Linked DNA regions of Caenorhabditis elegans. The protein of the gene in region 2 binds, or shares a complex with, the protein of the main gene of each other region. Each region holds a gene or a part of one and is shown on either strand. Other genes may lie near its edges.

Region 1 (3,757 bases), on a different chromosome or scaffold from region 2:
TTAAAGATCAATGGGCACGATTGAAAACATGGCAAAGTTTTATTGAAAAATGAAAAACAGGCAAATATTTGGCTGAAATCGCTCAGTTTTCAGAAAATATCCACACTTTGACTGAAAATGGTGTAGGAATTGATGTAATAACAAGAGACAACAATCGATGTGGTTCCGTTTTTACAAATCGAATTGTTGATAACAAAGAAAATAAGGGAGCGTTTTGAAAATGAAGGAACTGGTTTTTCGATTGTACGAGATACAATAGTTCTTGACACAGACACCTACAATTTGTTGATAACGAAGGATAGACGCATCGGGTTGATGATTAAACAAATTTGAAGGAAGTACACGAAATTTCAAAAATTTAAAGGTGGAGTAGCGTCAATGGGGATTTTGTCTAAATACGCTTATTATGATTTCAAACGACCGAATATCATAATAAAACTACAAAAATTTTTAGATTTTCCCTAATTTCGGTCAAAGTTTTGGCACATTACCAAAATTTTGACAAATATGAGCTTTTGAGGACATCCAAAGCAATGTCGCATATTCCGGTCTTTACAATGATTCAACAAAAATAATTGAAACAAAATTACAGTATAAAAAATGTAGGAAAAATAATTTTTTTTGGTCGACTTCCAAAATTATGAGTGGCAAAAACTGAATATTGAACACTTTTTGACAGTGAATAAAAATTTTTCAAAAAAGTTTTGAAAAGTTTTATTATGATTATTTGTCACTTTGGCACCATAGGAGTATTTTTTAACACTTACTCCATTGGCCCTACTCCACCTTTAATAATTTTCAGATTTCCTAATTTTCTAGATTGCATGCTAATTTTTACAATTACTAGTTCAATGTTTCTTAATCTGATTTCGGTTTAATGCAACTATTATCATACGCCAGGAAATCGAATGTACCGTACGTATAATCAATGTAACTGATGTGATTTTTCATAATTTTTTCCTAAAATTGTTTTTCAAAATTTTTTCAAAAATTGCTATGGAAAAAACTATTTTCAAAAGACCGACCTGTGGACCGACTGTACCGTATTTCCTCTATTAGTCTTGCACTCCTACAGACTAATTGAAAATCAGTCTTACAGCCTGTAATAGTCTAGCACCCCACTTTTTGTCATATTAGCAGAACTTTGTGGAAACGTAAGCAAATTTATCATTTTTGGAGTAAATCAAATGTAAAATCGTTCAAATAATTGATGTAATATTGGGAAAGTATGTATTTTTCATTGTTTGAACGGTCAAAATTGTATCACTTTCCAAAGTTCGAAAAATAGTTTTCAGTCTCTATTAGTCTTGCACCCCTAAAGACCAATTGAAAATTAGTCTCGCATGCAAGACTAATAGCGAAAATACGGTAAATGCAGAGTTGTTGTCTTTCTTAATTTATTTTTATTTTTATTTATTTGAATATTAGTTGTTATATGGACGTCCTTTTCTTTCTCAATACATATGCATATACAAATATTAACTTTCCGTTCTTCTTTCCTATTCCCATACATTTATATGTATCCCAAAGCCTTCTCTCTCCCCCACACACACCATTTATCTGCACCATCCTCTTTTCACCCAATCTCTCATTTGTCGTAAACTCTCCTTCCAACTCTACGTCTCTTATTGTTCCCAACACTCTCTCACTTTTTCAACACTGACGACGGCTGTTTTACACTATCTGCTGGCCTGGATGGGGACTTTTGTGTTGCTCTACGGAAAGAATCCTCCCACACAATATTTTTACTGCTATTTGAACATTGAATTATCGATTTTTCAAATTTAAATTTAAGTGCTTAAAGAGGAAATGTTCCAAAACAGAGTTTCATAATGAGACTTCAAAATTTTTTTAACTTATCAATATCTAATTGTACTTTATTTTTTATTATGAATCAACAAATATTTACCCCTTAATAATTTTAAACTTTTCAGCAATAACCATGTCAACACTTGGTCGTAGTAAGACCCCATCTCGTGACGAACCAAAAAAGCCTGGAGTCTTTGAGAAACTCTCTGGTACCCTTTCTCGAAAGAAGAAGGCGCCGGAAGATGAGCATGGAAACCAAGGGGGTGCACATCATGCTACTGATGAAGATGAAGTTTTGGAGGTTAGTTTTGCAAATTAATGGTTTTAGCAAATATAGATTTTTCAGCTTGAACTTGAAGGTCGTGAGGCTCTCGATCAGTCATTGGTCCCAGTTCTTGCAAGAAACATCTGGTTGGAAGAAGGTAAACGGTTTCACCAATATATTTATCCAATATATTTTTTTCCAGGAGAAATTCGTCGTTATCTGACTAAGGAAACAGCCCGCGATCAGAAGTTGGCACAAGTTGTCGATTTGCTGATCTACTGGCTTAATGAAGAGCTAGCTGATCAAAGAATTGTCGTTCGTCACTTGCAAGAAGATCTTTTCGATGGTCAAATCATCCAGAAGCTGTTGGAAAAGTTGGAGCAGATTCGAGTAAGTTATTGGTACAATTTCACAAATTGAATAAATTCTCCACTCACAGTTTTGTTACAGATCGAGGTTCCAGAAGTTTCGCAGTCAGAAGAAGGACAACGTCAAAAACTGCAAATTGTAGTTCAAACAGCCAATCGAATTCTCGGACAGCCAAGAGAACAAGAGAAATGGTCTGCGGATCTTATTCATCAAAAGGTACGCAAATCTTTGTCTGAATTGTTCATTTCTATCAGTCTTACATTTCATTGTGCAGATGTTTGACGCACTGTAGACAAAAGAGTTTCTCACTCGAAGCTGTTCCAAAAACTACCGTATATTCTATATTAGTATGATATGTTAATCTGTGGACACCTCCGCCACACAATACTATTCATCATTTACTATATATAAAGCGCTTATTCTGTGTGTCCATAGTTTGTAGTCTATGTAGTCTTTGTAGTCTGTGAAGTTTTGGCTTCTTGGGATAGTGAGTTGGGGTTAGTGTAGGGATATAGTCGAAGTACTGTATTGGCACAATAGTGGTACGGTAGGAATACTGTAGTTTCAGAAAAAATCAGTTTTCACCCCCAGGTCCACGGCTGGTAATCTATATAGAAATTCGTGAACTGCAATACTAATTTTCGAGGTGGTTTTTGGATGCAAAACTTATTGAGAATATACGATAGTTGAACGCAACAGTACTTTTCGAATAAACAGAGTTACTTTCCATATTTTATATTTTCTCATAAAAGAATATTCCCAGGACTTCACTGCCATCATCCAGCTCCTGGTGCTTCTTGCTCTTCACTACCGTGCTCCAGTTCGATTCCCAGATAACGTGGTTGCTAACGTTGTGGTGGCTCAAAAGGAACATGGTCAAGTGAAGACCCATCGAATTACTGAGCAAATCACTACAGTTCAAACTGAGTTGGCACCGAAGGGCACTCGTGACGCATTTGATACGCTTTTCGATTATGGACCCGATAAGTTGGCTCATGTGAAGACATCTTTGTTGGCTTTTTGTAATAAGCATTTGAATAAAATTAATCTGGAAGTAAGTTTATTCACTTCATTGTGCTACAAAGAAGCTGATATTTGTAAATTTTTAGGTGTCTGATTTGGATAATCAATTCCAGGACGGAGTTTTCTTAGTTCTCCTAGTGGGACTTCTTGAAGGTTATTTCGTCCCGCTTTACCATTTTAATCTCCAAGTTCAAAGCCACGAGGAGAAAGTAAAAAATGTGCAATTTGCGTTCAAACTTATGGAAGACACTGGCCTTGAGAAGCCTAGATCTCGTGTTCAGGATATTGCCA
Region 2 (3,757 bases):
GTATACAAATCCTGATTGTTCTTTGTAACAGCAAAAATGACATTTGCCTTACGATCCTTGATCATTTGATGAAGAAGTGCAATTGATGGATAATCTTGATTAAGTGTTTCAGTATAATATCCTTCTCTATCTAAATGACATGTTCCATCATTTGGTTCGACGACACCTGCCAATCTTCCGTCTCCAGCGAAATGGAATCCAGCGTCAGTTGAGAAAACGATCATTTTACGAGCACGTTCACGCCACCCAATGGTTTTCTGAAATATTGATTTTTAGATTTTAAGCTTTCCCGATATCTCAAAAATGTTGATTTGATTCTTTTTGAATTTTTCTTTTAAATCAAATAACCACTTACATTACAAGCCAACGCCTGAACAACAGCATCGAAACCTCCTTCCGGAGCATCCAAATTTCCAGAAATTTCAGCTTTATCAACTTCAGCCTTGAACTTTGCCGTGTTCGTCGTCAATGACATTTGATGCTTGAATCCATATGGTTCTGCACATGGTGTTGGACACGGAGATAATTGTTTTTCGATTCGTGGATCGATGAATGGCATAAGTTTCTTGTCAATGAATGAACCGAATCCTAATCGGAAATTCTTTGTGACAGTTCTCATTCGTTCGGCGAGCAAGTCTCCGAGTTCGGACAGTTTCTGTTTGTCATCCTTCATGGAATATGAGAGATCCATCAAATAGTACAAGTCAACTGGATAATCAACGGCTTGACGGTAGGTCACATTGAAACGAACACGGGATTCTGAAAAAAAAACATTTAGATTGTTGTTGATATTGAAGAACTGGATTTAGAGAAAAATCTTGTGATTTTACAAGTTTTCGAGTCGCAGCGGTCACTAATTAATTTTTATTTTATAATCACCCTGAATTGCAAATTTTAGAAGTTTATCATTAATTCGTTGATTTAGGCATATTTTAAGCCCAAAAATCTCTTAAAATCCAAAAATAGTCAAACGAGCCTAAAATGTGTAAATCAACGAATTATGATAATAATAATAAATTACTTCACTTAATTGTATATTACAGGAGCTTTTTAAGATAAAAATTAAATAAAAAAGAGGCTGAAAATAACCAAAACCGGAAATATTTTAACTTTCCGCAAAAAAAATGCAGTACGATTTTTTTTTCAGTGTTTTTGAGACAATTTTCAAATGTGATTTTCAGCGGTTTTTGTTGTGAAAAATCAATGAAAAACATTTCTTTAATTAGTGCAAATTTTTCCTGAAAATTTAAGACTACGAAATTACCCTGAAATCTTCGTTTTTTTTGCTGAAACCCCAAAAAATTTTTTGTATTTTATTGATTATTTTCATCGAGTTTTTAAACGAATTATCTTTGAAAACCATATAAAAAACTTACTGGGCCGAATTTCGACGTACATCTCCTGTGGTTTGATCTGAACGGCTTCTTCCTCAGATTCAACTTGTCCTTGATCGGAGAGTTTACTGTCTTCAGTGATATCCAATTTTGTGGCCGGATCCTCGATATAACTGTTTGGACATCCATGTTCCATGAGCTTGGCACGGCTATCACAACGGGCATATGGCTTCTTCTCGTCGAACATCTGGAATTTTTTTTATTAAATAAAATAAATTCATGGTCTCAAGCATTTAACATACCGGTGCTCCACACCACGCGCAAGATTCATGATATTGAATGCACGCTGAGCATGTGTAATTGTCACGTGACAGACTGTAGCATGGGAATTCTGATTTTTCGACGACTTTTCCAGTGACTTCTCCAGTCTTCCAATCGCTTGCTGGTAAAGCGAATGGAAGAAGTGCTGCGAGGAGCAGCAATGATGTTGAAGGTGGCATTTGATGCCGGGTAGGTTCAACTGAAAAATTAATTAATTGGCTTTTAGTACATTGAGAACGGAGTAATTAGAAAAAAAAACGGTGAGATTAAAAAATGGTGTATTTATAAGAAAAATTGATGATGAAACTCTACAGAAACCTGATATCAAACTGCTTTCAACAGGTGGCAACTTTCATACAACTTTTGAAATTTTTAAAGCTCTCCAAAAAAGTTAGATTTTTTGAAAAAAATATTTTGATATAAAAATCAAGAATATCATACTAAAAATGGCACATCCCCAATTCATAATTTCTTCAGTGAAGAAAAAGTTATAATATAAAAGTTATACAATAAAAAATATATAGGAAATTTTGAAAGAAAATGACTTCTTGAAATATTAGTCACCATAGTAGGAAAATTTATTGTTTACTCAACAAACGGAGTGAATGCGGGAAGTATAACGGAGTCATGTTCTTTTTGTTAGAAAATTACATAGTTTTCGGGGGAAAATATAAAAAAACTTGCAGCGAGGAATATTGGAGTTCAGACAACTCGGATTTGAGAAAAATCGGTCGTGTCGAGACCGGGTACAGTATTTTCGGGAAACAATAACTTAATTCGGTATCTGCAGGCACACATGTGTAATGTATGAAATTTGAGATTTCGGGATAAAACTTCATCCGTTTAACATTTTTGGAAGTTATGCACATAACTTTTCAAACCTTAAAAATCGATAAAAGTATCAACTACGTCCACCGATCACCTCTTTTCGGAACGTGGGCGGATCTGCCAAGTGCTTCGACAGGAGCATCTCTCGCCTTCTCTCTCTTCACAACTGCCATCAACCCAGCAGCAGAATGCTCTTCGAAGAGATAGTGTAGGCGATAGAGTGCTCTATGTTGGCCGGGAGAGGGGCTCGGACCAAAGTGTAACGAGAGTTACACCTGCTTGTATCGTCGAAGAAACAAAGAAGACGAAGGGAAGAAAACCAAAGGGAAATGGGTGAAAAGGCGTTAGAATCGGGAGCTTCTAGAGACATCAGAGACCGATGAAATTGCGAAATTCACAGGAGGGGGTTTGATGTGGTGAGGAAAGGGATTTTTCGATAGTTTCAATATCGTTAGTTTGGTTCAAAAGTGGGAGTGGATTCTCATTTTGGAAGACATTCAAACAGGGATATTAGCTGAAACTAAAAAAAAGGATTTCACATTCTAGATCGACATTTTCCTTCTTTTTTTTGTGGTTTAATGAAATTTCTGACTATTTTGGGTATTTTTAAGCTTCCCGCTATTCCAAAAATGTTTAAACTCATTGCTGAACATCAAAACTGTTCCTGGTAAACTAGTTTAGGTGAAACTTTGAAGATAACTATAATTCTTGCTCTTACAGCTTATGAATGCACCTAGTAATTATTAAAATGTCAAAGTATAATTAATTTTAAAATGGCTGTCAAAAGTTATCATACAACGATATAACAATTTAGACATTGTGAAAAACGACGATTTCAACACTTAAATAACGAAAAGAGTAGAAAATAATAGCGTCTGAGTCATTCTTGTTCTAAATTTCCCACGCCCACCGTCTCCCGTCTCCAATCCATCAAATCGATAACAATCTGATAGGAACTAATTCAAAATCCAAACTGAATTGAAATTGAAATTGGGAGGAACAAAACGAAGAAGGGAACCAAGGGATGACAAGTAGTAAGACATCTGGTGCATACATATACTAGTATCCTCTGTCTCTATGTCTCTCTGTGTTCGTATTGCCCTTGTGTGTTTAATCATAGCACTAGCCCGGAATAAAAGAGCATTGAATCTGTGGAGAGACAGACACAATGAGAAGAGGGGTCGACTGTTGGTACTTTTGTTAGCAGGAGGGGAATCTACAGAGAAAAGAAGCAGTTAAACGGAGTGTGGACAGCAGCAGTCAGGATATATGGA

Evidence for each region. Proteins that work in one complex are often made in the same cells at the same time.
Region 1: pat-3 (region 2) and pat-6 share a complex: the UniProt entries of both Caenorhabditis elegans proteins name them as parts of the integrin containing attachment complex.

The regions. Positions count from the first base shown.
Region 1 is NC_003282.8:262,410-266,166, reverse strand, and holds the start of pat-6 (Paralyzed arrest at two-fold protein 6), read left to right. Parts: upstream 1-1,934; 5' UTR 1,935-1,942; coding exon 1,943-2,110; intron 2,111-2,155; coding exon 2,156-2,231; intron 2,232-2,276; coding exon 2,277-2,464; intron 2,465-2,524; coding exon 2,525-2,659; intron 2,660-3,206; coding exon 3,207-3,497; intron 3,498-3,552; coding exon 3,553-3,757. UniProt on the Caenorhabditis elegans protein: Involved in the regulation of cell adhesion and cytoskeleton organization. Component of an integrin containing attachment complex, which is required for muscle development and maintenance.
Region 2 is NC_003281.10:3,912,296-3,916,052, forward strand, and holds the start of pat-3 (Integrin beta pat-3), read right to left. Parts: upstream 1,855-3,757; 5' UTR 1,835-1,854; coding exon 1,637-1,834; intron 1,582-1,636; coding exon 1,377-1,581; intron 760-1,376; coding exon 356-759; intron 258-355; coding exon 1-257. UniProt on the Caenorhabditis elegans protein: Integrin alpha ina-1/beta pat-3 is a receptor for laminin. Integrin alpha pat-2/beta pat-3 recognizes the sequence R-G-D in its ligands. Plays a role in cell migration, morphogenesis and probably in cell-cell interactions.